6 linked regions of the Oryzias latipes genome follow. The protein of the gene in region 6 binds, or shares a complex with, the protein of the main gene of each other region. Links are inferred from orthologs where the notes say so. Each region holds a gene or a part of one and is shown on either strand. Other genes may lie near its edges.

The links. The genes of interacting proteins can lie anywhere in the genome.
Region 1: snrpd3 (region 6) and armc7 share a complex: the UniProt entries of both Homo sapiens proteins name them as parts of the minor spliceosome. The link is inferred for Oryzias latipes from reciprocal best matches to the Homo sapiens genes SNRPD3 and ARMC7.
Region 2: snrpd3 (region 6) and prpf4 share a complex: the UniProt entries of both Homo sapiens proteins name them as parts of the U4/U6-U5 tri-snRNP complex. The link is inferred for Oryzias latipes from reciprocal best matches to the Homo sapiens genes SNRPD3 and PRPF4.
Region 3: snrpd3 (region 6) and lsm7 share a complex: the UniProt entries of both Homo sapiens proteins name them as parts of the U4/U6-U5 tri-snRNP complex. The link is inferred for Oryzias latipes from reciprocal best matches to the Homo sapiens genes SNRPD3 and LSM7.
Region 4: snrpd3 (region 6) and strap share a complex: the UniProt entries of both Homo sapiens proteins name them as parts of the SMN-Sm complex. The link is inferred for Oryzias latipes from reciprocal best matches to the Homo sapiens genes SNRPD3 and STRAP.
Region 5: snrpd3 (region 6) and snw1 share a complex: the UniProt entries of both Homo sapiens proteins name them as parts of the minor spliceosome. The link is inferred for Oryzias latipes from reciprocal best matches to the Homo sapiens genes SNRPD3 and SNW1.

The regions. Positions count from the first base shown.
Region 1 is NC_019877.2:19,373,166-19,377,193, forward strand, and holds armc7 (armadillo repeat-containing protein 7), read left to right. Parts: upstream 1-1,228; 5' UTR 1,229-1,475; coding exon 1,476-1,566; intron 1,567-2,314; coding exon 2,315-2,458; intron 2,459-2,541; coding exon 2,542-2,885; 3' UTR 2,886-3,532; downstream 3,533-4,028. UniProt on the Homo sapiens protein: As a component of the minor spliceosome, involved in the splicing of U12-type introns in pre-mRNAs.
Region 2 is NC_019870.2:4,234-8,194, forward strand, and holds the start of prpf4 (U4/U6 small nuclear ribonucleoprotein Prp4), read left to right. Parts: upstream 1-1,161; 5' UTR 1,162-1,254; intron 1,255-3,961. UniProt on the Homo sapiens protein: Plays a role in pre-mRNA splicing as component of the U4/U6-U5 tri-snRNP complex that is involved in spliceosome assembly, and as component of the precatalytic spliceosome (spliceosome B complex).
Region 3 is NC_019862.2:8,272,683-8,276,696, forward strand, and holds lsm7 (U6 snRNA-associated Sm-like protein LSm7), read right to left. Parts: upstream 2,801-4,014; 5' UTR 2,694-2,800; coding exon 2,688-2,693; intron 2,455-2,687; coding exon 2,364-2,454; intron 2,269-2,363; coding exon 2,197-2,268; intron 565-2,196; coding exon 422-564; 3' UTR 153-421; downstream 1-152. Other genes in the region: kelch-like protein 24, read left to right, coding at 3,091-4,000. UniProt on the Homo sapiens protein: Plays a role in pre-mRNA splicing as component of the U4/U6-U5 tri-snRNP complex that is involved in spliceosome assembly, and as component of the precatalytic spliceosome (spliceosome B complex).
Region 4 is NC_019881.2:4,536,177-4,540,189, forward strand, and holds the start of strap (serine-threonine kinase receptor-associated protein), read left to right. Parts: upstream 1-1,213; 5' UTR 1,214-1,491; coding exon 1,492-1,603; intron 1,604-2,027; coding exon 2,028-2,163; intron 2,164-2,885; coding exon 2,886-2,967; intron 2,968-3,690; coding exon 3,691-3,763; intron 3,764-3,840; coding exon 3,841-3,940; intron 3,941-4,013. UniProt on the Homo sapiens protein: The SMN complex catalyzes the assembly of small nuclear ribonucleoproteins (snRNPs), the building blocks of the spliceosome, and thereby plays an important role in the splicing of cellular pre-mRNAs.
Region 5 is NC_019882.2:3,678,808-3,682,922, forward strand, and holds the start of snw1 (SNW domain-containing protein 1), read right to left. Parts: upstream 2,801-4,115; 5' UTR 2,688-2,800; coding exon 2,674-2,687; intron 2,252-2,673; coding exon 2,098-2,251; intron 2,024-2,097; coding exon 1,862-2,023; intron 846-1,861; coding exon 750-845; intron 604-749; coding exon 497-603; intron 1-496. UniProt on the Homo sapiens protein: Involved in pre-mRNA splicing as component of the spliceosome. As a component of the minor spliceosome, involved in the splicing of U12-type introns in pre-mRNAs.
Region 6 is NC_019870.2:16,128,909-16,132,934, reverse strand, and holds the start of snrpd3 (small nuclear ribonucleoprotein Sm D3), read left to right. Parts: upstream 1-1,226; 5' UTR 1,227-1,356; intron 1,357-2,143; 5' UTR 2,144-2,164; coding exon 2,165-2,290; intron 2,291-3,742; coding exon 3,743-3,935; intron 3,936-4,026. UniProt on the Homo sapiens protein: Plays a role in pre-mRNA splicing as a core component of the spliceosomal U1, U2, U4 and U5 small nuclear ribonucleoproteins (snRNPs), the building blocks of the spliceosome.

The sequences.
Region 1 (4,028 bases), on a different chromosome or scaffold from region 6:
TACACCAACTAAACCAGAGCAGATTTCACACAAAAAAATTTAAAAAAAATTTAAAAAATGTAATCTGATAAAAGCAGCTGCACTAAGTGTCAAAAACGTGACACCAATGTAGAAAAGAGAAATTTGTGAAGTGAAAAAGCCCCCCACTTCCAATAACACAATATGTTTTACAAAAAAGATTCTTATTTTAAAGATATATTTTACAAAGACATTTATTTAGATTTCTTTAATTTATTTTAAATAGTAATTGCACTCCAGGTTGTAGAAGATACTGGTCAAAAACTGAAATTATGCTAAATAATCTACTAATTAAAAACATTAGTGTCTCATTACAAATGATTACTAATTATAAATTAAAAATGCTGTTACCTGCAGTCTTACACTTATATAATTAAATGTTAGTATTTTTTGTGGTGCAAAGAAAGAGTATGTGTCTGTGATGCCTTGCTTTGGAAATAAAAAGGGCTACAAAATAAAAATAGTTGTATTTTTCCTATTACTAAAGATATTTAAAGACAAAATTTCCTGTTAATGAAATTATGGTTTGGCTCCAATGTTAATTTGTACTTAAGGACAGTACAGACATGTTTTCAGTGTTTTTCTTAAACTTGATTACAATCAAACGTCAGCGTCATTACGCAAGGACAACAATCTCCAACGTTAAACACATAAAAAAATATTCTGAATATATAGACTAAAGTCTATATTTGCGTTATAACTTTCCTATTGTTTTATACAAAATAAGAAAATAGATCACCTGTTTATGTAAACAGTGGCAAGTCCAACAATGATGCTCCCGAACAGAATAGGTTTCGTGAGCCTTTTAGCTGCAGAGAGCTTGTGAGGCTTCATTGCTGCAGAACTTTAAATCAGAAGGTTCACGGCATAGAATCCAAACAGCAACAGAAACGTGAGTTTGTTTTCAGCTGACCTTCCTGCGCGTGAGTTAGTTAGCTGAAGGGACGTTGGAGCGCCTCAACTTCCGGTCCAGCACTGACGTCTATGTCGACAAAGAAGTACCGACTTCCGTTTGAGAATTGAATTTCGTAAAGTAATTTGCTTTTATCGTCTATGACAAAAAGTAATCATTTAATTAAATTAAATCAAAGTGATTTATTACCGAAACATTATAGGCCTAATTATTAAAAATCACAACGTTTTAAGTGATAAAATAAATTGACAGCTCTTTTTTATGTAAGAACAGCTTAATTCTACTTTTGGGTTTCATTTTTAATTGTTATTCTGTTGCGTTAACAGTTCATCCAGTCTTCAGAAGAAGAAAAAAAAAGAGTCACGAAACAATATCCCGGAACCACTGTCCAAATTCTAATTTAAGCCGGACGTATTTGAAAGACGGACAAAATGAACGAACTACTGAAACCAAATGCATAAATGAGGATACTATTTCAAATGTATTTTATTTTTTTGTTTTAATCGCGCGTTTGTCTTCTTAAAAACACAATATAAGATACTGAATGATGAAACGGAACTTTTCACCCGAAACCTCTGACCGGTTTGAATATTTACAGGCTCTTGTCACAGAGTTTCAGGATAGTGACAGTGAAGGTAAAAACACAAATAGCTCGCAGATTCATTTAGAAAAACTAAGAATTATTGCTAGTTTACAACAAATTCTTTGAAATTAAATTGTTAATGCATAAACATTGTAATGAAAGCATGTCTTACTTATATCAATCCATGATAGTCACTTTATATATATATATATATATATATATATATATATATATATATATATATATATATATATATATATATATATATATATATATATAATTATTTTTTTATTTTTATTTATTTTATTATATATATATATATATAAACTACAAAAATTTAATTTTTAAAATCTGAATGCTTAGAAACAGGACAGATTATTCAGGAAAAAAACAATGCATTTATCTTTTAAGATTTTTTTTTTTAAATAATTATGCTTTAGTAATTCTGACGATCATGTTTGAATACTAAATTAAAAATGCATAATGACGTTTTTTAAAAATCAATAAAACCAAAATTTAACAAATGCCATTTAATGATTTATGCTGATAGACTTTTGCAGCCTTTTATATGCAATATATAAAGGATCAAACTACATATTATTGTCCGTCAATAATTTTTTAGGAATGCAGGTCTTTAGTCTTATTTTTAATGTTGAGGTGTAAAAAAGCGCCCTCTGGTGGATTAAATTTATCTTGCTTTTGGTCCTTGTTCCCGTTTCAGTCATTAATGTCCAGTATATGTAATTTAATTGAATTTGAATCTGATTCTGTGTTTTTTATTTATGTTCTGTTGTCGTTAGAGGCAAAGGAGCAGGTTTTGGCAAACCTCGCCAACTTTGCTTACGACCCAAAGAACACAGAGTATCTGCGACAGCTGCAAGTGACCGACCTGTTTCTGGATATGTTGACTGAGAAGAACGAGAACTTTATTGAGTTTGGAATGGGTGAATCTTTTTAGATTATCATTTGGGTTTTTTTGTACCATAAATGCAGTGAAAAACATTTTTTTTGGTCTAAATTTTCTCAGGTGGGCTCTGTAACCTCAGTATGGACCCAGACTGCAGGGACCTCATCCTGGACAGTGACGGCATCAGCTTAATCACAAACTGTCTGTCAAACCAGAGGGAGGAGACAGTGCTATCAGCAATTACTACCCTTATGAACCTTGTGACTCCAGCTTCACAATCTCAGCTCACAGAGCCAGGCATCTTGCAGTGCATGCTGCGTTTCTCTCTTGCTGAGAGTCCCCGGCTGCACAACCTAGCTGCTGTGTTCCTGCAGGACTGCTGCACCAAGGATCAGGTCAGGCAGGCCGAGCAGCAGATGCAGGGACAGCAGATGGCTGTTGGGATCCCACTACCCAAAGACTAAAGACTTTGCTTCACAGTCAAGTGGAAACAAACAGTGACCGTTTTGGTTTTATGATTGTTTAATTTCTGGTGTTTTCAGCAGATGTTGAACCGATCTGGAGGATTTCCTTTGAACAAAATCCACCCTAAAGTTGGTTATGAAGAGAGGAAAATTAAGCTGCTTGTCCAGGTCTTGCACCTCCTCTCATTTGCAGCTGGAGTTTGCACAGGACTCATGTCTTCACTGGATCAGAATCTGAATATTAAGATGGTTTTTGTATGTTTTTAAGCACAAGTACATTTATAAAAGTAATTTGAAATTTGCTCAAAACAGGCTTCCAGCAAAATGAGTATATTTGTTCTCATGGAAAAATGGTAAAGATGTGTTTTACTAGACAGAAAATAATTCCTTTCAAATGTTGGACACCAACTGAAAAGGTCAGATACTCATCAAAGGAAAAATGAGGGAAAGTTTGTCTGTAGTCGTATTAGATTTAAAAAAAAAAGACATATAGAAACCCAAGTTATCCTGCTTTCATGGGAGGAATACGTTTCTACCAACTGTCACTAATCAGCAGAAATACCAAACCTCATGGAAGCCTAAGTTTGTGGCTTTCTTAGTCTGGATAATTCAGGTGTCTTTTATTGAAATAAAAAAAATCTACAGAAGTTCTGCCTTCGTGTGAGTGTTTGGCTCTCCTCCCTTTAGTCCTGACTTGGGCGGCATGATATGAGGAAAATTTGCAACATTGGTGATCAATATTGCGATGACAATATACTTGCTACATATCAACAAATAGCAAAAACAGCTGCATTTTAATTTTACAACAACAAGGGTTAACCCTTGTGCTATCCTAGACATTTTAACGTTGGGAGTTGGGTCATCTAGACCCACTAGACAGTGCGCTAAACCTTTTTTCTTCAATGATTTGTGATCTTCACTGGTGTCAATGGATTACATGACATCTTTCCACCTTTATCCACATTTGTCATGGTAGGGAGAACACGTCGATGTAAGGGTGGGGTCATCTAAGATATCACAAGGGTTTCGTAAAATGTAAATAGTTTCAATTATTTACACTCCAAATGACCCTCGTCTACCTATGAGGCGAGCATCTAACATAAAAGGGCTCCATCCGATTGGTCAAATGCACAAAGGGATTTA
Region 2 (3,961 bases), about 16 Mb from region 6:
TACTTTGTCTGTTCTTTTCTCCAAGCAGAAACTCTCTTTTGCTGATGATGCAGCCGTGTTACTTTATTGATGGACGTATAATCTTCATACGCCGTCATTTAAATGTCCGAATCCGTCTTACTGAAGTACAGCTCTCTCTCTTTTTTTCTCCACACGTTTCCATGGTGACTCCAGAAATCGGCGATCCATTGAGAATGTTTTTATGTACCTGCTGTGCACGTGCATTAACCCAGGGTTACCAAGTGGAGCGTAATTATGCTAACTCATATCCGGTCTGTTGGAACCGACATACCCAGAGTAAGCAAGTTCAGGTGGATTTCAGCCAGAGTTCAGGGTTAAAGTCAGGGGAGTTTAAACATGACTTCTGGAATACCCCCCTGGTCTCTGTGGGGGTTTACTCAGGAACCTCTGGTTGGATCAGATCTTCAGACTCCCACAAAGAGGGGGTCAGAAGTCTACAGTGTTTGACCTCAAAGTCACAAGCTACTCCAAAATATCATTTTAAAGAACAAGCTCTGTTTCTTTTACATAAATTATGGGACACTAGAACTTAAGCTCATCTCTGGTTCTGTGGGTTTGGGCTATTCTGGAATTGAAGACGCCCTGTGACTACACCCAGCAATAAGAACCATACCATTTCTCCACTGAACCTCAGGTCTGAATCCAGCAGCCAAAACAGCGCCCCCTAGGGAGCAAAGTGGACGTACTTTGCTGATTATCTGACACACCTAACCACGAAACGTGAAAGGTTCTAGTTTGATGCTCCACTGGTTCCAGTTCAGTCAAAGGGTCTTAAAAGAATGAGGATGCTCTGGGTCACACGGATCAGTTTGTGTAAGGTTTTGGTTGACAACCACCTGTTTCTGTCATGACAGCCAGCTGTACAGAATCTCTGATTCGGAGGAAAGCCACGAGCTCTGCTCCGTCTGCAAGGAACCCAAGACCTGGAGATGAGCTCCGGACGTTTGACCTCCTTTCTGGACATCCATTCAGCAAATAAACAAACACCACGTGATCTGCAGTTTTACTTCTGGTTAGCAACAAATTAGGTTCGTCACGCGCTTTTACCAGTGAGCTTACCTTGAACGAGTGGGTAAAACGCGCGCTCGCGGAGCTCCACGACCTGTTGTTGAGACACAAGACGCGCGTATCCAGGTTTTTCCGGTGAACCGGAAGTAGTAGGTTGACCCGGAAGCGGTTACAGCACATATATCCGGATCATTTAGCGCGTGGAGGCAGCTTTGTCGGATTAAGGTGAGTTTACGAAAAAAGTAACGAAGCTGTAGCAGCAAAAACAGTTAAGGACTAGCACGCGCTCACAGCATCTAATTTATTCCTCCGCCGCACGCGCTTTCAATCAGCCACAGATTCCCCCGCGTGGATCGGAACCGGTTCCACTGCAGAAATTGGTTGGAGGTTCTAACTGTTGTGCAGCTTCGCCTGCAAAAAGGGTGATGGAGGGAAGAAATGTTCAGTGTTTAGTAGATGACGTCATTAGTACAGACTGAATGTCCGTTTGCCTCAAGAAACGCAAAACAAAGAAAAGACGTAAGAATAGGCTGGCATTTACGATAGGACAGGTATAAAACATCAAATTACCAAGGATAGAAGATTAAAACTACTGTCGACTAAAATGCTTCATCGTTTAAAAAGGCGACCGTACCAAAATCTCCAAATAGGGGAGGAGCATCTGAAAGAAACAGAGAAGTTCAGCCGGCTAACAAGGAATATTGTGTTTTTGTTTTTCATTTAACTTTATTTGTTTTTAATTAACTTTATTCATTTCGTAGACAAATGCAAACAAAGGGAGTCAAACGTACACATGTTAACATAAAATGATGGATTCCTAGAGAAGAAAATAATAGAATAACTGAATATGATAGAGCTTATTGATGCTAACAGATGTGAAGAATTTATGTCATGTTTACATTTTATTTCTAAGTATCACTTCGGGTTTGCTGTTGGGGACTTAGCTGAATATAGAATTTAGCAAAAAATTAATATTTTTATTAAAATATGAATCCTTTTTGTCCTGATTAAAATGATAGAAATCGAAAATAACATTCTCATAAGGGTGAAAATCAGTGCAGATCAAGTCAGTGATCGTCTTTTAGAGAAGGAGGCCAGGCGTCAATCGAGAGGGTCGGAGGGTCCTGTCCCGGGTAATTATGAAAAGCAGACCCGTTATGTACATTTTCAAGGCATCGTTTCAGATGATTTGAAACCACCAGGGGGGTATTCCAGAAAGCAGGTTATGCTAGCTCCCACGGTAAGTTTGAGGCTAAGGAAGTGGATAACCTCAGCTTTCTGTTCCAGAAATGGAGGTATGTTTCAGGGTAGGTCAAGTTGCCATAGCAACTCATGCTCTGAACATAACCTGGTCAGGAGCAGGTTTAGTTGAAGGTTAGTTTGTTTTTCAGAGATGTGAAGCAGCATGGCGTGTCCATTTGAAGATGATTTAGTGGATGAAGAAGCTCAGATAATACTTTTTCCACCATGAGAGGATGATAAGACCACATATGGATGTTGGAAAGAGAAACTTTATACTTTCATCTAACTTAATTATTTGCTTAAGTTAAGATGAATCTTTTTTGGAGTTCAGTCAGCTTAAAAATAACACGTAGTTATCAGACATTTATTTTACTTTCATTCAAATTGATTCAATGAAGTAGGTGTAACTTTGGTGCTGCTGTTAGATCTGCACCGCAAGGAATTGTGGGATACCATTCCCTTTGCCTGTCTGGACGGATTTGGGTTTAAGTGTGGGTTTTTGACCAAATGTGTTTAGTTTAGCTGTTTTACTGTGTTTTGTCTAGTTATTTTGTCCTGTTATGTTTAATTCTTTCTGCACCATGAGTGAGAGGGAGGAAGAGGCGGATGAGTTTATTTAGCACCACTAGTGCGCGTTTCCATGGTGACTCCAGAAATCGGCGGTCCATTGAGAATGTCTTTATGTACATGCCGTGCACGTGCATTTACCCAGGGTTACCAAGTGGAACGTAATTACGCTAACTCGTATCCGGACTTTTGGAACCGACATACCCAGAGTAAGCAAGTTCAGGTGGATTTCAGCCAGAGTTCAGGGTTAAAGTCAGGGGAGTTTAAACATGACTTCTGGAATACCCCCCAGGTGCAGAGATTGGGTTCACTTCTACTCTGTTGACGGCTACATTTTCTTCTGACCTGCGGGTTTACGACACAATTTCCAAACTCATCTCCAGAGTAAATATAAACATGTGAGCGGTGGAGGCGATGCGGCTCAATGGCTGCGGGCCGTTATCGTGTTGTGGGGATGGCTTTATAATAATAATTGTTATGAACATTCATCGTCTCCGCCTTGTTCTCACTGTCCACTTCTGTCTTGATTCACACTTGAGTTGCTCCTTTTTGGTCTCCTGAACAAAATCCGTAATAAACTGCATCTGGTCCAGAATTCCACTGCCCATATTGTCTCCAGAACTCCAACCTTTGATCACCCCCCCCCCCCCCCCTTCCTCCAGCAATTGCACTGGCGTCCAATTCAATTCAGACTCCTCCTCTTCCTCACCTTCAAATCCCTCCATAACCTGGCCCCTGTTTACCTCTGAGCTCCTCCAAGTTGACGCCTCCTCTCGTTTTCTCCGGTCCTCTTTTTTTCTCCAGCTTTCTCACATTGTTTTTTTATCCTATTTTTCTAAATGTATTTTTATTCTTGTTTTTACTGCTATGTACAGTGACCTTGTGTGTCAAGAAAGGCGTGTGTCATCAAATTATTATATGCAATTCTTAAGATGGAAAAATTGATATTAAAATATAAAAGGAAAAATTCTACTAAATTTGGTCAAAATTCATCAAATCCATTCAGAGCAGGCTTCTAATGAATTCCACTGTCTATTTGATGTCTGCATTTAATGTCTCCACCTTATACTTAAATTTAAGTGAAATGAAATTAAACCATTGGGTGTTTTTGCTGATATTTGTT
Region 3 (4,014 bases), on a different chromosome or scaffold from region 6:
CCGCAGATTTCTCCCTGTGTGCCTAAGCTTTCCCATTCCAAACACAAAAACTCCCTTCAAACTGACAAAAGCTCACTCAGGGTGTGAAAAGGAAGATGTGATCCAGCTCAGATCACTGCAAGGAGCGACTGCACCCAAAGATAAAAACAAACTCCAGCATAGGTTTTCCTTTTATTTTTCTTATCAAAAACAAACAGTAAAAAGCTCACGTTGTTCCTGCATAAAAATGAAAAGGTTTGCACTTCCGTAGCACATGAGCTCTTTAGAACAGAGGTTCCAACGTCTGGACACCACAAACAAAAGGGAAGTGCATTCAAAAGTCATTTTTACTGCTGATTCTCCAGCTTTCTTCCATTAGGTTGGTTAAAACAAAAACAACAAAAATAGAAACAAAACAAAGGTCTAACACTTCATGGGCGATTTAGCCGTCTTGCTGCTGTATGAAGGGGTTGGGTATGGCCTCCATGCCGTCCTGAGGACAGATCAGGACGACGGAGGTTCCTCTGCAGACCACCAGCCCCAGCTGCCTGGTGTCTTCTGTCAGCTTCAGCTGGTCGTCTGGATCTGCACACAGACACACAAAGGGATTGTAAATGCCAGAGGATGTTCATCTTTATGTTGCAGTTTTTGTACATTTAAAGAGATTTTTATTGCCGTCAGTAAATGTGACAAATGCTTAACAGAACAAGAGTCCACAGTTGATCCGATACTAGAGGAAAACAATATTACAATGCAAAGAGTTATTAGTTCAAACACAAAAACATTTTTTTCTAGCTAGTGGACTCTTAATGTTAAGGAAATGCTTCAGAATATGATAATGACCTATTAGAACCTATGCAAATGGGAGATAAAAACTTTGGTTTACGGAAAAACACGCCAAGTTTTTAATCGTTATTAAACGCGAGTTTGATGAATTATTATTATAGTTTTTAACTGGAGATCAATACAATTAATTTACTTAGTTTGAAGAGTGAAGGTGAAATTCTTACTGAAAGAAAAGTTACAATATTTAGAAAGGAGAATTAGAAGAAAAAACATTCTTACAAAAAACAGTTTTTCGCCATGGCGATCAAAGTAGCTCCAACTGCTCTTTGTGACATTTTAATGCAGCCAAATTATATATACGTTTAAAATGTGTTTACTTTATTAATCATTGTTAATCCGGCATTAGAGAGTGGGCTAGTGTTAATTTTCTCTCGACTTTAATGTGTCTTCATCATGAATGCTCATCATAGTAAGAAATAATGAGGTCATGTTATGTATTTGGAAAACAAAAGTCCATCTTGTTGATGGTTTTTCTGAAAAATATGAATAACCTTCTTTATGAATCTTTAGAGACATGATGCAGACATGATGCATTCATGATGACAAACAGGACATTTTTTCAAGATGGGGAATTGTGATTAGAAAACGCAGTTCAAAGTTTGATTAAAAACAAAACATTAAGTCCTAAAATACCTGTCTTAGACTACAGCACAATAAATCAATGTTTATTGAAAAAGTTCAGTCTCATTTTAATTTCCAATTTAACTTTTTTCAATTTTTATTAAAGCTTTAGTTTTTAAGAAATACACACTTTTGTAGAACTGATGAATTAAATTAACGCTGATGTTTTTCACACTTATTTACGAGTAAAAACTGCACAAGAACAGATGGAAATTCACGTATTAAGTTCAGCAAAGATGCATTTATCAGAGTCATTAGTGGTTTTACCCAACCCTAACCATTCCTCCAGGTCTGTGAGGCCAAGAAAGAAGTTCTGCACCGGCTCTACGTATTTAGAAAATTATGTGGGAATAGTCACTTTCATAAATTGAAGAAAAATAGAACTTTAAATACAAAAAATTGTAAATATTATAAAGGCGAACAGATTGGCTTCTCCTGTCTGAGAAGGCACGAGAAAATCGTTTAAAAAAAAAAAAGAAAATCTTGCGGCTTTGATGAGTAAATATTACATTTTTTAAATGGAGATCAATACAATTGATTTACTTAAAAAAACAGTTTGAAGAGTGAAGCTGATATTCTAACTGAAAGAAGAGTTACAGTATTTTTGGAAATGAAAAAGAATTAGAAAGTTTGAACCTCACAGCCTGAGTCCACATAACAGTATCAGTAAACCATGGACTAAATAACTCCTAACTACTTAATTATTAGTTCTCCATTAAGAAAAGTGGGTACACGTGAGTTTTCACTTACCACGCATGTACTCAATTGTACCGTCCAACACCAGGTTCAATAGAGGATCGAACCCTTTTAGAACTCCGCTGGCTAAAGAGGGAATAAACAAAGTAAATAATTATATTCTGACATCACTGTGAATATTCTGGTCACCACAAGTTACAATCTTTCGACAAGCCACCTACCCTCCCGTCCTCCTTGAAACTTCACACGAATTGGCTTGTCGATGTATTTGGACAAGTCAAAGATGCTCTCCTTCTTTTTCTTTTCTTTATCCTGTAAAGAAATGTCAGTTTCCAAGATTAATGCACAGTTTAAGGCGCAGACCCTTAGCCTAGCATTAGCTTAGCATCACTGACTAAGGCAGTAACAATTTCACAAATAAAACGGCCGTTACTTCAGAAATGTTATTCTCATTTCCTCAAGTATTCTATTACTGACTAACACCAAATAGAAAATGTTCGGTGAACAATAAGAGAGAAAATTAAACGAAATTATTTCGCACTCACCGCCATGTTTGAAGTGTGACCCGGAAGTTAAACTTTGACCCCAGATACAATTTAATAGCACCAATCACATCGCCGTAAACTCGCATCTGACGTCATCTGAAGTTATTTGCACTCAAAAAATAAAATAAAAAAATGTTCTTAGCTTTAGTTTTACTAAATAATTGTATTTTAATAGTAATTTTTAAAAAAACTTTTACTTTTCAAAGTTGACCTCTTTCTTAACTGCATTCTCCGGGCAGGGGCGTCTATTAATAAACAAAGTACACACCAGCTGGTGTGTTGGGAACCTACCGTAGTTGTGATCCAGAAACAGGACAAAGCAGTAGACTTGTTTTACTCTTTACAGTGACTGAAGTGAAGTTTCAGAGCTTCAATCAATCTTTTCCATGAGTTAGATAACACAATGGACGAAGATGGATATGCTTTTCATGTGGAAGACCCTGGGCCGGATTTTATTCCAGATGCTGTCCTACGGGTAGAGGAGGAGAACTTTTACGTCTGTCGGGAGCACCTGGCCCTTCAGAGTCCATACTTCAGAGCTCTGTTCTTTGGCTGTGGTGTGGAAAGCCGCAAAAAGCTTGTTGAGATCAAAGGTGTGGGTCGACAGTCTTTCAAAGTTTTGATAGAGTACAGCAAGACTCGCCGTCTGACTTTGGACCATGAAAATGTTCTTGGGATTCTTGAGACTGCAAACTATCTACAACTAGAAAAAGCCAGACTGCTGTGTTGCAAGTTCTTGGAGCGCGAGCTACACCTCACGAATTGTTTAGGAATGATGGCCTATGCATGGCAACTGGGCTGCTCTCAGCTTTATTCTGCAGCCCGGCAGGTTGTGCTCACACACTTCCCTGCGGTCTCAGCTGAAGAGGATTTTCTGTCCCTTTCCAAGGAAAGTATTGCTGATCTACTTGCCAGTGATGATCTGGCTCTCCACAAAGACGATGTGGCGCTTGAAGCCACCCTGCGCTGGGTTTCGTTTGATCCTAAACGAGAAGAACATTTTTTAGAGCTAATAGAGCTGGTGAGACCAGAGTCTCTCTCCTTAGCATTTATTACCCAACTTCTGACCAGAATGAAAGGTTCTGACCCTCGAGCAAGGCTCATCAGCAAGCTGAATGATCACTTCCCAGCCTCTTGGTCAGTAGGCAGGTCTTTGAGGCGGACCAAAGCTACAGAGACTCTCTATGTCCTGGGAGGGCCTCATGATCAGGAACAGCAGGCACTGTATCAGTTCCACCCTCTGAGCGGTAGATGGCAGTGCTGTGCACCTTTGCAGCAGAAGAATCTAACTCAGTACTCAGTAGCTGCAGTAGGTAATATCCAATTA
Region 4 (4,013 bases), on a different chromosome or scaffold from region 6:
TGACTTGTGTAGTTACAAAAAGAATACACGGTATTCTAGGCCTACAAACTGTTATACCAACCCTCCACTACAATATTACAATATTACAGTGCATTAGTTCAGTGGTACAGTAATTTCTGGCAACATTTACTTATAATGCCAATAAAAGGCATTTTACCTGTTCTTTACCCTAAATCTTCGGATCATGGTGGACACAGTGAATCTACTGGCGTTTGGTTGTACCTGTTGTCCAGCCTCCCTCATGCTAATCCCATGGACAAGCACTTTGTCGATCCCAGTAGCTCTGATTTCATGAGATGTTACTGTTCTTTGTCTTTGCTGACCACCTCAACCACCATGAACTCTTCCTCTCAGATTTCTGTCCATTGTAGGGCCTCACAAACCAGTGCTCTCTGAACTGGCTTACTTTATATGTTCTCCCACAAGTGTGATCAGTTTTGAGTTGTTGTGTTCAAGTGGGGACACCTGTGCTTTCTTTGTGTTTGACTTTTGTCACCTGTGCACACCTTTATGCAGCACGGGTGTATCACAATGAAAATGTGTTGCCAAGTCGTGTCTAAACAGGTGAGAAGTACTTATGGTTCGGCCAAAGGAACGTTCGATGCAATCAGTGGGTTCAGGCAACTGGGCATTTGGTTCAGACAATAATAGGGTTTAGTGTTTTAGCAATTGAGAACAACTGTAAGCGAAACTTTTCCTGTAAACAATATCAATAAATTACAGTATAGGTACTGGTTTGCAGCAGTAAAACTATATTCATTAATGCAGATATATAAAATCCCTACATTATATAACAGACTCTTAAACGTTTGAGTCTCTGGGTGCTTAATAATTCCATATAATTATTTGACATTTAAAACAACTGAATTAGTTTTTTTTTATTATTATTATTATTTAGTTAGTTAGTTAGTTAGTTAGTTAGTTAGTTAGTTAGTTAGTTAGTTAGTTAGTTAGTTAGTTAGTTAGTTAGTTAGTTAGTTAGTTAGTTAGTTAGTTAGTTAGTTAGTTAGTTTAATGTACGTAATGTCCTGCTAATAAAAAAGAGCTTCCCTGTTAGAAAATTGAGTAATTCTTAGAAATGAACCATCTATTGTAACATTTTCTTTATAAAATTCAATAAAAAAAACAAAAAACAACGTTTTTCTCCGTTACTTTCATAAAAAAAAAACGAAAACACCTGACAGACGGATTTTATTGTGAAATTCCCCGGAAGTGTGTCGTGTCTCGCGGTTTTGTGTCGTCATCGTAACTGCAGTTACGCACGTTGCTAGTTAGTTGCAATGTTGTAGCTATTAGCGCGAGGCCGTTTCTTCTCTGGGGGGGCCAAACCCTGAAGGACACCGACCCCCGCTCCTCACACCCGCACCCGCTCGACTGCTCCCCGTTACCCGACAGCCGCTCCTCCGCTCCCGGTTCGTTAGCGGGCCCCGTTTGTTCGCCGCCTCCTTCCGCGAGCGCGACGGTTCCGGCGGCGGCTGAAGACCACCAACCATGGCCATGAGGCAGACCCCCCTCACCTGTTCGGGTCACACCCGACCCGTGGTGGACCTGGCTTTCAGCGGAATCACGCCTTTCGGATACTTCCTCATCAGCGCCTGCAAGGGTGAGCTCCAGCAGGCCGTTAGCCGGCGCGGGGTTCCGGTGGCTCGGCCGTTAGCGAGCCCCTCTGTCTGTGCAGGCAGAACCCGATCTGGTCGTGTGTCGGTTCTGACTTAAAACGATCCTAGAAAACTCGTAGAACAGACCTGGCGGATCCGGTTCTGATGAATGGTCTGATTTCTGAGCAGAACTCTGTCTGTAGGGAAGTTGTGGGTCTTACTGGTAACTGTAATCCATGAAAGTAACGAGAGTATCAAGTAAGGCTCCTCAGGGATTCCTCATCAAACTCTAGGAAAAGCTAGTAATTAATGATTATGTAACAAAACTCAGGACTTGGTTCAAGCCCAACAGTTACTTTGGCAAAAAAAAAGTAACTGAGTAAATGTAACTACCCGCCTCTGGTTCTGATCCAATCCCTTCTGTTAAAGATGGCAAGCCCATGTTGCGCCAAGGAGACACAGGAGACTGGATCGGAACGTTTCTTGGTCACAAAGGTGCTGTTTGGGGGGCCACTCTGAACATGGACGCCACCAAAGCCGCCACCGCCGCCGCCGACTTCACAGCGTGAGTAGATTTGGGAAACTGCCTGTTTTCCCAAGGAAAAACACGCTTCTTTCCTACTGGGAAAGCAGCCTTTTCCTCCAGGAAAGTTGTTTTAATAGTAGGAAACAAACTACTTTCCTCCAGGAAATGCACTGTTCTACCTGCTGGAAATGAAGAATTTCCCCCAGAAAATGAGCCTTTTTTTCCAGGAAACTTTTTATTTCACTGGCTTCTTACCTAGGAAAAAAGCTTTTGTTTTCCCCCCCTCCCCTGGAATCAGGGTTTTATCTAGGAAAGAAGCGGTTTCTTTTTCTCCAAGATAACTAGTTTCTGTGGATTTTTTTTTAAGAAGTTGGCTTATTTTTTTTCTGGGAGTCTAAACGTCTTTCCAGTAGAAAAGAAACTCCTGACAGTAGAGTTGCTTTTTATTTTCAGGCACCCTGACTTTGTTCTACCCTGAAAACTAGCTTGATTTTCCAGTGTGCCTTGGAGGCACGTTAGCCCTGGAAGTTGGGTCATCTAGACCCACTAGACAGTGCTCTGAACCTTTTTTCTTCAATGATTTGTGATCTTCACTGGTGTCCATGGATTACATGAAATCTTTCCACCTTTGTCATCGTAGGGAGAACACGTCGATGTAAGGGTGGGGTCATGTTGCTGCTTTGTAATCCGTTGCCCCCCAACACTGACCGTCCCTCTATGTTCCCCTGTCACACGCTTCTGACCGTGTCTGTTTTCTGCAGGAAGGTGTGGGACTCGGTCAGCGGAGACGAGGTCCTGTCTCTGGCGCACAAACACATCGTCAAGTCTGTGAACTTCACTCAGGTCAGTGTGGCGCCAGGCGTCTCTGCTTTCTTTGTCCGTGTCTGCGTATGCGGGTTTTGGTAGAACCGATGTGGGTTAAAGACCCCGTCCTGTTAAAATGGTGGTAATTTTTCTCACGACGGAGAACATATAGACAGAAAATTAAGCTCAAAATAACATTTCTGATGTTTAATTTTTCAAATCAGGAGCAGACACAAAAATGTCATATATGTGACGTAGGAAATAGGCTGGGGAGTCTAAAGCTTCCTGCTCTGCTCCATTCTGATCATCCACCTGCAGACAAATAGATCCATGAACGTCTTTGTGTTCCTGGTCTGAGCTGGAATCTGGATCAGGACTGGACGGCTTACTCCACACCACAACCAAGAGGCTCATTTCTGATGAAGTCCTGCCGCCCTGCAGAAACTATGTCCTGGAAAATGACCAAAAACCGCATCATCATCATCATTAGAACACTTTGAAAATAAATCACAAGATGATTGGAGTGGCACCAAACTGTAATAGTGGGCCAAACGTAACAACTTTAGCTCATCAAACATCACAGCAAACTGAACCGTAAAGAGGAAGTGCTTAACGCTGGGACACCATCTATACAATGATTGTAGTCACAAAGTGCTCCGTGTTCCTGCTGCTTTGATTTTACAAACATGAGACAGATAAAGCTCCTGGTGAACATTCATCAAGCCAGATGGAGGACAGTAAATCTGTGCTTGTGTCTGTTAGGACAGCAACCACCTTCTGACGGCGGGAAACGACAAGCTGCTGCGCATTTTCGACCTCAGCAACACCGACGCAGGTGAGATGCAGTTTGAAGGTACTTCTGCTAAACACGGCATCATGTGACCCCCCCTCCCCCCTCCCTGTGTTCATCAGCCCCACAGGAGATCGCAGGTCACGGCGCAGCCATCAAGAAGGCTCTGTGGTGCAACGACGACAAGCAAATCCTCTCTGCAGCCGACGACAAAACCATCCGGTCAGTTCTTCTCTGAACGTGGGTCCTGCCGGCGCTGCCGGCGCCCTGGACGGTCCCTCCCGGATGCTAGGAG
Region 5 (4,115 bases), on a different chromosome or scaffold from region 6:
TAGGAGGAGAAATATTTGAAAAGTTGTTTATTGAAGGGGATTTTATTTAACCCCATGAAGGGTAAATCAACATCTCCATATACTCTCTACACAACTTTCAGTCGTTTTCTGCAAACGTCAGGTGGAAAGGTTCTCGTCAATCATCGACTCGCTGGTGCTTCAACGCAACGTTGAAGGAAACTTCCAGCTTCAATATTTGCAAAATGTTGTGATAGACCGACTGTTCAATACTTCCTTTTGTTGTTTGATATAGTTCCAGAAGTAAGCATGTTCGATTAGACAAGAGATGTTTATGCTTCAGCCTCTACGCTTGATTGGTGGAGAAAGTGTTTAAAATAAGAGCAGCTGGCAAAAGTAATTGGGCAAAAACGTCGCAAGAATTGGTTGAATTCATGTGAACTGGTGTGATTGCAAAATCCAAGAGGATCTGATGGAACAACAAAGAAGTCCTCGATCTAAAATAGAAGTACTGTTTATGATTCAGGTAAATTGCTACCTGATATATTGTGCAGGAGCGAGTTTGTCGGCGGCCCGGACAGGCATGGCTGCAGCAATCTTTTGCGACACCTGCTTTTGTAGAGCGGCCCGAGTCTTCTCAGTCAACTGCAAAGAGCATCCATCCCCAACCATGAGAAACTACACATGCTTACAGTAATTAAAAACAATAAGTAAGGGCACGCTGAAAGACAATTTCACCAAATCGGATGAATGAATCCTGAATGTCTGCACGAGCCCGAGCAGCAAATTACCTCTTCTACAGCCTCCTCATCCGGCTTCTGAAGGCCTGAAGCGTCTTCATTAAGAACTTCTTTTGGGAGCAGATCAGTGTACTTGCTGTAAATCACCTACAAAAATCAAGAAGAAAATTATAGAAATAATCTCACTCAAAATTTACCAATATGGCAAAACATGCAGACTCATAGAATAGGATAGATTGTGTAAAGCTGCGTTTACACTAAATGCCATTTGCGCATTAGGAGTGTCCAGTTTTAATGTTAGCTTAACGTAAAGAAGCAATCAGATTTGATTTTGGAGCTGCACACCAGTCTGGCAGCCGCGCGCTTTTTTGGCTGTTGCGGTGCGTCAAGAGTTCAAAAATATGAACTTCGGCAAACAAGATGCGCCGCGTCAACCAATCAGGGACTCCTCTTCGGACCGGGATGCGTTGAAGATGTTATAAGTGGATCAAGACACACAAAAAAAGGTCCTGAATGCAGAACAGAAAGTCGTCAAACTGGGTTTCCCTTTCAGGAGCAGATGTGGGAGTCTCTGGATGATCTCATTGATCAAGACATGGAGACGTGCCTATCGACATTTTTGTAGAGCTCTTCAAAGTAGAAAAACGTGATATCTCAACATCATCCCTGTCTGCAGCAATGAGGCTAAAACCGTTTGGCGGTAGCTCCTCCCACATGCGTCTGGAGTGTCGTGTATGAACACCAATAGAAATGTAAGGATCAAACATGGTTTTTACAAAAAACAAAACACTATAGTGTGCATTTTTTTTAAATGACAACCAAACCAAGCTGTATTACCAAAGTTAAGATTAGGTCCCACATTTCTGTGGAGATTCTGTCATCCAGAACATCGGTTCTTCAGCTGGACTTTTAGAGGTCAATTTAGAATCTGTCAAGTCATATAATGAACCTCTCATGTTAGTTTGATAAAGTTCATCGTGTCTTGTATTATTAACTGACTTGTTGGTTCTTTTTTATGTGAAAAAATACAAATAAAACACAGCCGTGTCTGATAGGAATAGAACCAAGAAGTCAGAACCTCTCATGTATTTGTGGACACTAAGAGCAAGAATAGGGTTTTAAAGCTCCTCACTGACTGCCAGAAAGAGGAAAAGCTCAAGTACCTTATCCTTAGCCTGTCCTTGTCTGGCAATGGCATCATATTTGATTTTCCCTTCTGCGTCCACTTGAACTGCCAGGGCGTTAGAGGTCTTCTTCTTCCTGCCCATCTCCAGAGGAAACTGGGCCACGTGAATCTCTGGAAAAGCCCCGCCATCTCCGAAGTCCTAGGAACACCCAGAATGTTTTGTAGAAATGCGAAACTAGGCAGTGAACCAATGTGTAATCCATTGAAGTGCACCTCAAATGCACGCGGAACCCAGCCTTTTCTGTGTCCGTAAGGAGGGGGTTCTTTACGGGACGCAACCAGCGCAGTGGAATAGGATTTCTGGGTCCGAATCCGCTCTTCTGCTTCCAGCTGGTCCTGAGACAGCTGGGTCGGTGCCGGTAAATAGCTGTGCAAAACAGGTCCACATAATGCAGTTTAAAGACAACTTAGCAAGTCGCTGTAAACGCGGATCAGCGTGAAACGACGTCAAAGTAGCAGGAACAAAAACTGCAAACCTGAAACGTTAATGCAGGTAAAGAGGTTTATTTAACACGATATCAAATACATGTGTTTAAGTAATAGATTAAACAAACAAGCTAACTTCAGAAACGGTCGTTTGAGGGTACAAGCTAATGCTAACCCCGTCTCACTAGTTAGCACTAGCTAGCATTAGCTAACATCATAAACACAGAAAAGAGCGAAACGTTTAAAGTTTAACTAAATATTTAACGTTTAATATTAAACCAAATAAATGTATAACAAACACAGACAGAAACTCCGATCGCATTTTGTGCCTTATTCGCCAAAAGGCCTCACTTAGAGACTTACCTCGTCAGAGACATTTTCCTTTCTTCCTGAACTATGAAGTGAGCATGCGCAAGAACAGGCCGTAAGCGAAAAAGAGAAGAAGGTTGCCAGGTTTGACAATTCTAAGCTCTAATACATATCAAACCATGTCCAGTTCGATAAAAACAAAATAAAATAAAAGTACATACTCGTTTTACAACATTTTATTTGTTATGTTAACTTGTTAAGTTAATTACATAATAAAAGCCAATGCACACAAAAAACAGGCTTTCACCCACCCAATGAAAAAAACACGAAACTTTATACATACACTTGTGCTTCCCACATTTTTTTCTAATTATTAAAAAACCCTATATGTTGTATTGGCCAATCATCTATTCATCTATAAAATAAAGTTATTAAATATTTAAAATAATTGAAATAACACAGCCTTTATATTTTCTATGCATACAAATTTGGACTTGCTTTACTTCTGACGGCCGCTTATCCAAATTCCTTTAAAAATAAATTACACCCTGTACCAAATAAGATCTTCTGGCTGCATCATAACTTATAAACTATAAGAACTTTGTCTCTGAACAGCAACTACACAGTGTTGTGGCGCAGAGGATCAGAAAAAGAGCTTTAAGGCTTATTTGAAAAAAACAAAACAAAAAACACTCAGACAGTACACTACAACTCTTATTATTATTTTGTTCCAAACTTCACATTTATAATTTCTTCAAATCATTCCCTTTTTTTTTTTAAACCTTAGAGCCACAATGGATGGACATGTGGCTCCATAGCCTCAGGTTGCAGATCCCTGCCCTGGACTCAGCAGGCCAGGTTCCCAATGAAGAAACACGGGAGTCAAAGGTAAAGTTAAGAAGTTAAAGCAACATTTAAATTACACAAAAAACAACAATAGAAAAATAATAATTTTATAAAAAAACAAGGATGACAGAATAAAAGAATGATATGCTTGAATAAAAAAAATGCATAAATGTTTTTATAAATTACATAAGGATACTTCAGATACATATTTTGTTACTTCAAAAGAGGATTTTTTTTTGGTGGATGGAAACTTCCTCCATTTCCTTTGGATTGTTTTCATATTTAATAAAAAGTATCATTCATATTCAGGAAGAGACTCAGACTGCCAGAGAACTTTTGCTGAAACAGAAGGAAATCCCTTAGGATCTAATAGAAAACAGGTAGCCACCTTATTAAGTCCACTCATGGATAAGTGATTTCATATCCTGCTTTCATGCAGATGTTGCGAGTCTAAATCCTTTTTCTGTCAATCTTAAAGCCTAAATGTATATTAAAGCCTGTGATCTGTCAATAAGGTTTTTCTAAGATATCTAGCAGTTTGCACTGCTGTCGTGCAGAGACACGAATCCTCAAAATCAATGAAATTCTTTGCCTTATTTTTATTTCCCACCAGCGAATGTTGTCTCTTGATTTCATTAAGTTTGTTCCTC
Region 6 (4,026 bases):
TAAGTAAATCCTTTTGCTTGCTTGATCAGCAATTGGATAATTGCCTGGCAACAAAAGCTGACAACCCAGATCAACATCTAAGTGACATGATTCAAAGGCATCAGTGTAAACAGGCCTGTTAGCATCCACCCAAAACAAGTGCTTGTTTGATCTCTGCAAATGTCACTGCTCATGGCTGGACTGGAACTACGTTCAGAGTCAGGTTAGCATGCATTAAACGCCTGAAACCCTCATGGACACGTAAAGTAGATACACATGACCACACGCTGCACAGGTACAGGTGTTTACAGAGTAGCCTGTCTGCTGACGCCAGTCAATGACCCTGTTGCAATGGAAATCAAATGATGGTTCATTTGGTGATGTCTTTTATTATCCCATTATGCTTTGTCTTTCCTCATTAGAAACCTCTTCCAGCGTGAGAAAGCCCCGCATTAAGCAATGTTTATGCGTCTCACTGAAGTGGTAAAAAAGACTAGTCCACATAAATAAACACGCAAGGGTATGTATATGATACGTAAAGTCTGTTCATTCAAAAACTATGTAGAGTAAATGTTTATAGCTCTCTGTGGTCGATGAAAAAAATCCATTTGAATTGATTGAGTCGTTTCATTTTCATAATCTCTTCTTGCTGGGATGTTTTGACAAGCATATGTGCCAGCTATACACGTGTTCGGGATTCAAATCTTTCACATAAAACAAATAAGGAAAAGAGAAAAAACATAGTGAGGAGGATTATGGAAAAAAAACATGCACCACTGCAAGGAATCAATAAAATATTTTTACAAATATCTATCCAGTGTTCCATTATAGTTGATTTTTTCCAATGAGTAATCATCAAATTAAATTCATGTTAATCTAATTCAGGACAAATAAACAAGTCATTTTTTATTGTGTACATTTTTAATCTGTTAACGTTTCATGATTTCTATTTTTGTTTGAAAGTCCAATGTCCTATAATGATTGGTATTCCTGGACCTCTCTGAGGCCTTTTGATGAAAATTAGTTTTTATTTACTATTACTACTACTTCCAATACTACTAAAAAAGAATAATAATAGTACAAAAAATAATAACACTTATTATTATTATTGTTGTTGTTGTTTCTCCTTAACCATCTTTCTGGTAACTGGCTGACTCAAGTGAGTCTACATTCTGTTTGACCTAACACACCTGGTTTAGGTAATCAGAATCAACTACATGTCCCATAATGCACGGCGAAAAGCGCCACAGGAAACAAACGCTTTGTTGGTGCATTGTGGGTAAGCGGAAAAAAGGCTCAAACGCCAAGCTCAACGACTAGCCCACGTTGCTGAGCCGCTAAAAAGAACAACAATTCAAGAATTCAAAGGGAGTTGAAGTAAGACTTTAAACCCTAGCTACTAAAGCTAGCAAGTATTATATTGTGGTTGGTATTTAGCTGTGAATGTGATTCAGAATTATCGCTTTTTGTCTACATTGCCTCCCATTTGCTAAGTTTCGAATATGTCCATCGCTCCATCCATGCCTGATATTTAGCTTGTGTCTAAAATAATTTGCACGTTTGAGTCCCAACAATGTTGGGTGTGAAGCATTAACGTTAAATATATTGTGGTGGTTTACTTCCCACAGTTTTTAATTAATGTTTTGTTTCGCTTGAGGCCAGTAGTTGGTGGCTAGTTAGCTAACGTGGCTAGCTAAGCTAGCCATTAGCGTTACTACGTTTTAAAAGTAATCCCGAACATTTACCTGATTAAACTGTGTAATCCAAAACTGAAGAGTTTTCTGCAGCACTTGATTTCTCTACGTAGAAATAATACCGTCTTGATAAACAGTACAAGAAATAAATCACTAACGAGGTAGCTTAGCTAATGATAATGGAAACATTGTTATACTTAAGTGCCTTTTTTGTACGTTTTTTTTTGTGGGTGTAAATTACCTTATTTACAGCACAAAACAAGTCTTAAGTATGTTCTAACAGTAAATATTACTTCCAAGCCAGACACATGCAAACATAATAATCATAAAATTGGATGAATGAATTGCATGTTGTAGACTTTCAGTAGCCTTCTGTAAACAAAGACAATACCGTACGTCAGGTTTTGTGATAATACTGTATGTTTCAGTGCCCTTTACCGTATGTTTTGTCTTTTTTTTTAATTTAATAGCCTAGAAAGACCGTTTCCAAAATGTCCATTGGCGTACCAATCAAGGTCCTGCATGAAGCAGAGGGACACATTGTGACCTGTGAAACCAACACTGGAGAGGTTTACAGGGGCAAACTGATCGAGGCTGAAGACAACATGAACTGCCAGGTTTGTATGGAGTAACGTCCCCCCCCCAAAAAAAAAAAGCATGCCGTAAATTTCTATTTAGAGTTCAACTCACTGTACCACACTTGAGAAGAACATTTTAAATGTGTAAAGAACACAAGAATGTTTTTTTAATGGACATTTTATTGTTGGCTGCCCCCCCCCCCTTTTATTTCACATACTTTTTGGAAACAAAAATGCCAAAGGTATTTTAATGCAGTTTATTGCACCAACTCTTATTTAGACTTGCACATTTGTTTTTTTTGCTTTCACAGGAATAAGTCTAGAATCTACCAATTATAACAAGCAGGTGATGTAGAACTATTTGAGTAGGTTTGTTGAGAATGTAGTATTTTAGTAAAACAATTGCGGTGAGACAAACTCATGTTATACTTTCTTTCTTTCTTTTTTTTTTTTAAAAAACAGTTGTTCAACATGTTTGTAGCGAAAGACAAATCGGTTACTCCTCTTCGAAGAAAAATCTCTCCCGGTTTCTTTGTCCCTCAAAATCTCAGCCAACCACACGTGTGTAACGTATGATTGATTGATGTAGTGACTTAATTACTCAATGAGATCAATGGTGCTTTTACAGTCAACAAAACATACTCCCTTTTACTAATATGCATCAGGTCAGTGACCTGTAGGGAAAAACAAAAACCATAAATGATTTATCATTACCGTTGGAAGTAAATAGAAACACAGCACTAAGAAACCAAACGGCCCTGTGTGGAAAAAGGAAATTATGTTGGATTATTTTAAAGTTTTGGGACAGGTTGCCTTTATGACCTTTGTTTTTTTGTTGTTTTTTTTGGGTCTCTAGTTTTGGTTGCACATCTGTAACAAACAAATCTGGAATAACAATTTTATTTTATTTTGTAAATTTAAGTTGTGTTCTTTCTATTAACTGACCCAATTCACCCCCCCCCCCTAAAAAAATCTGTATAGTTATCTGGTCATATATGCACATTTGTCCTTGAAATATTTAAAGCCATTTTTCTTAAAGTATTGAGTACTGTAACTAAATATATTTCCCAAACATCCTGTCAATGCTGATAGTCTTTTCAAGCTTCATTAGTGCAGTAAAAGTTTAATAGACTCCAAATCTGTTTATTTCATTTAAAAGCAGAAATTTTGGTGGATAAAGCTCAGTGTGTCTTAAAAGTACTCTAAAGATAAGTGTGAAGGCTTTAACAAAACGCTAAATATTCTAAAACGTATATTCTGTTAATAATTGTAGATTTCTTATTAATCAAATGACAAATCAAAAAGGTTGTTAGAAATTATTTTAAGGGATTAAATGAAGTATCTACAAATGTGTTTTCAAATAGAGAACTGCATTGCCAAGTTTAACAGATAACTTAAAATGTTAACCTGCATTCCATTGAACACTGTAAACGTGTATCAAGCCATTTTACGAATCTAAGACCGGAACCATTTATTTCTATGTCCCAACAGATGTCCAACATCACAGTAACCTATCGTGACGGGCGGGTTGCCCAGCTGGAACAAGTGTACATTCGTGGCAGCAAGATCCGCTTTCTGATCTTACCAGACATGTTAAAGAACGCTCCAATGTTAAAGAGTATGAAGAACAAGAACCAGGGTTCTGGAGCAGGAAGAGGCAAAGCGGCCATTCTGAAAGCACAAGGTGAGTGGTTCCTAACCAATGCTGATAAATGGTGTGTCCACTTTTCCTTATTCTTGGTACACCCTGCTTCCTGAATGCTGTTTTTTTTTTT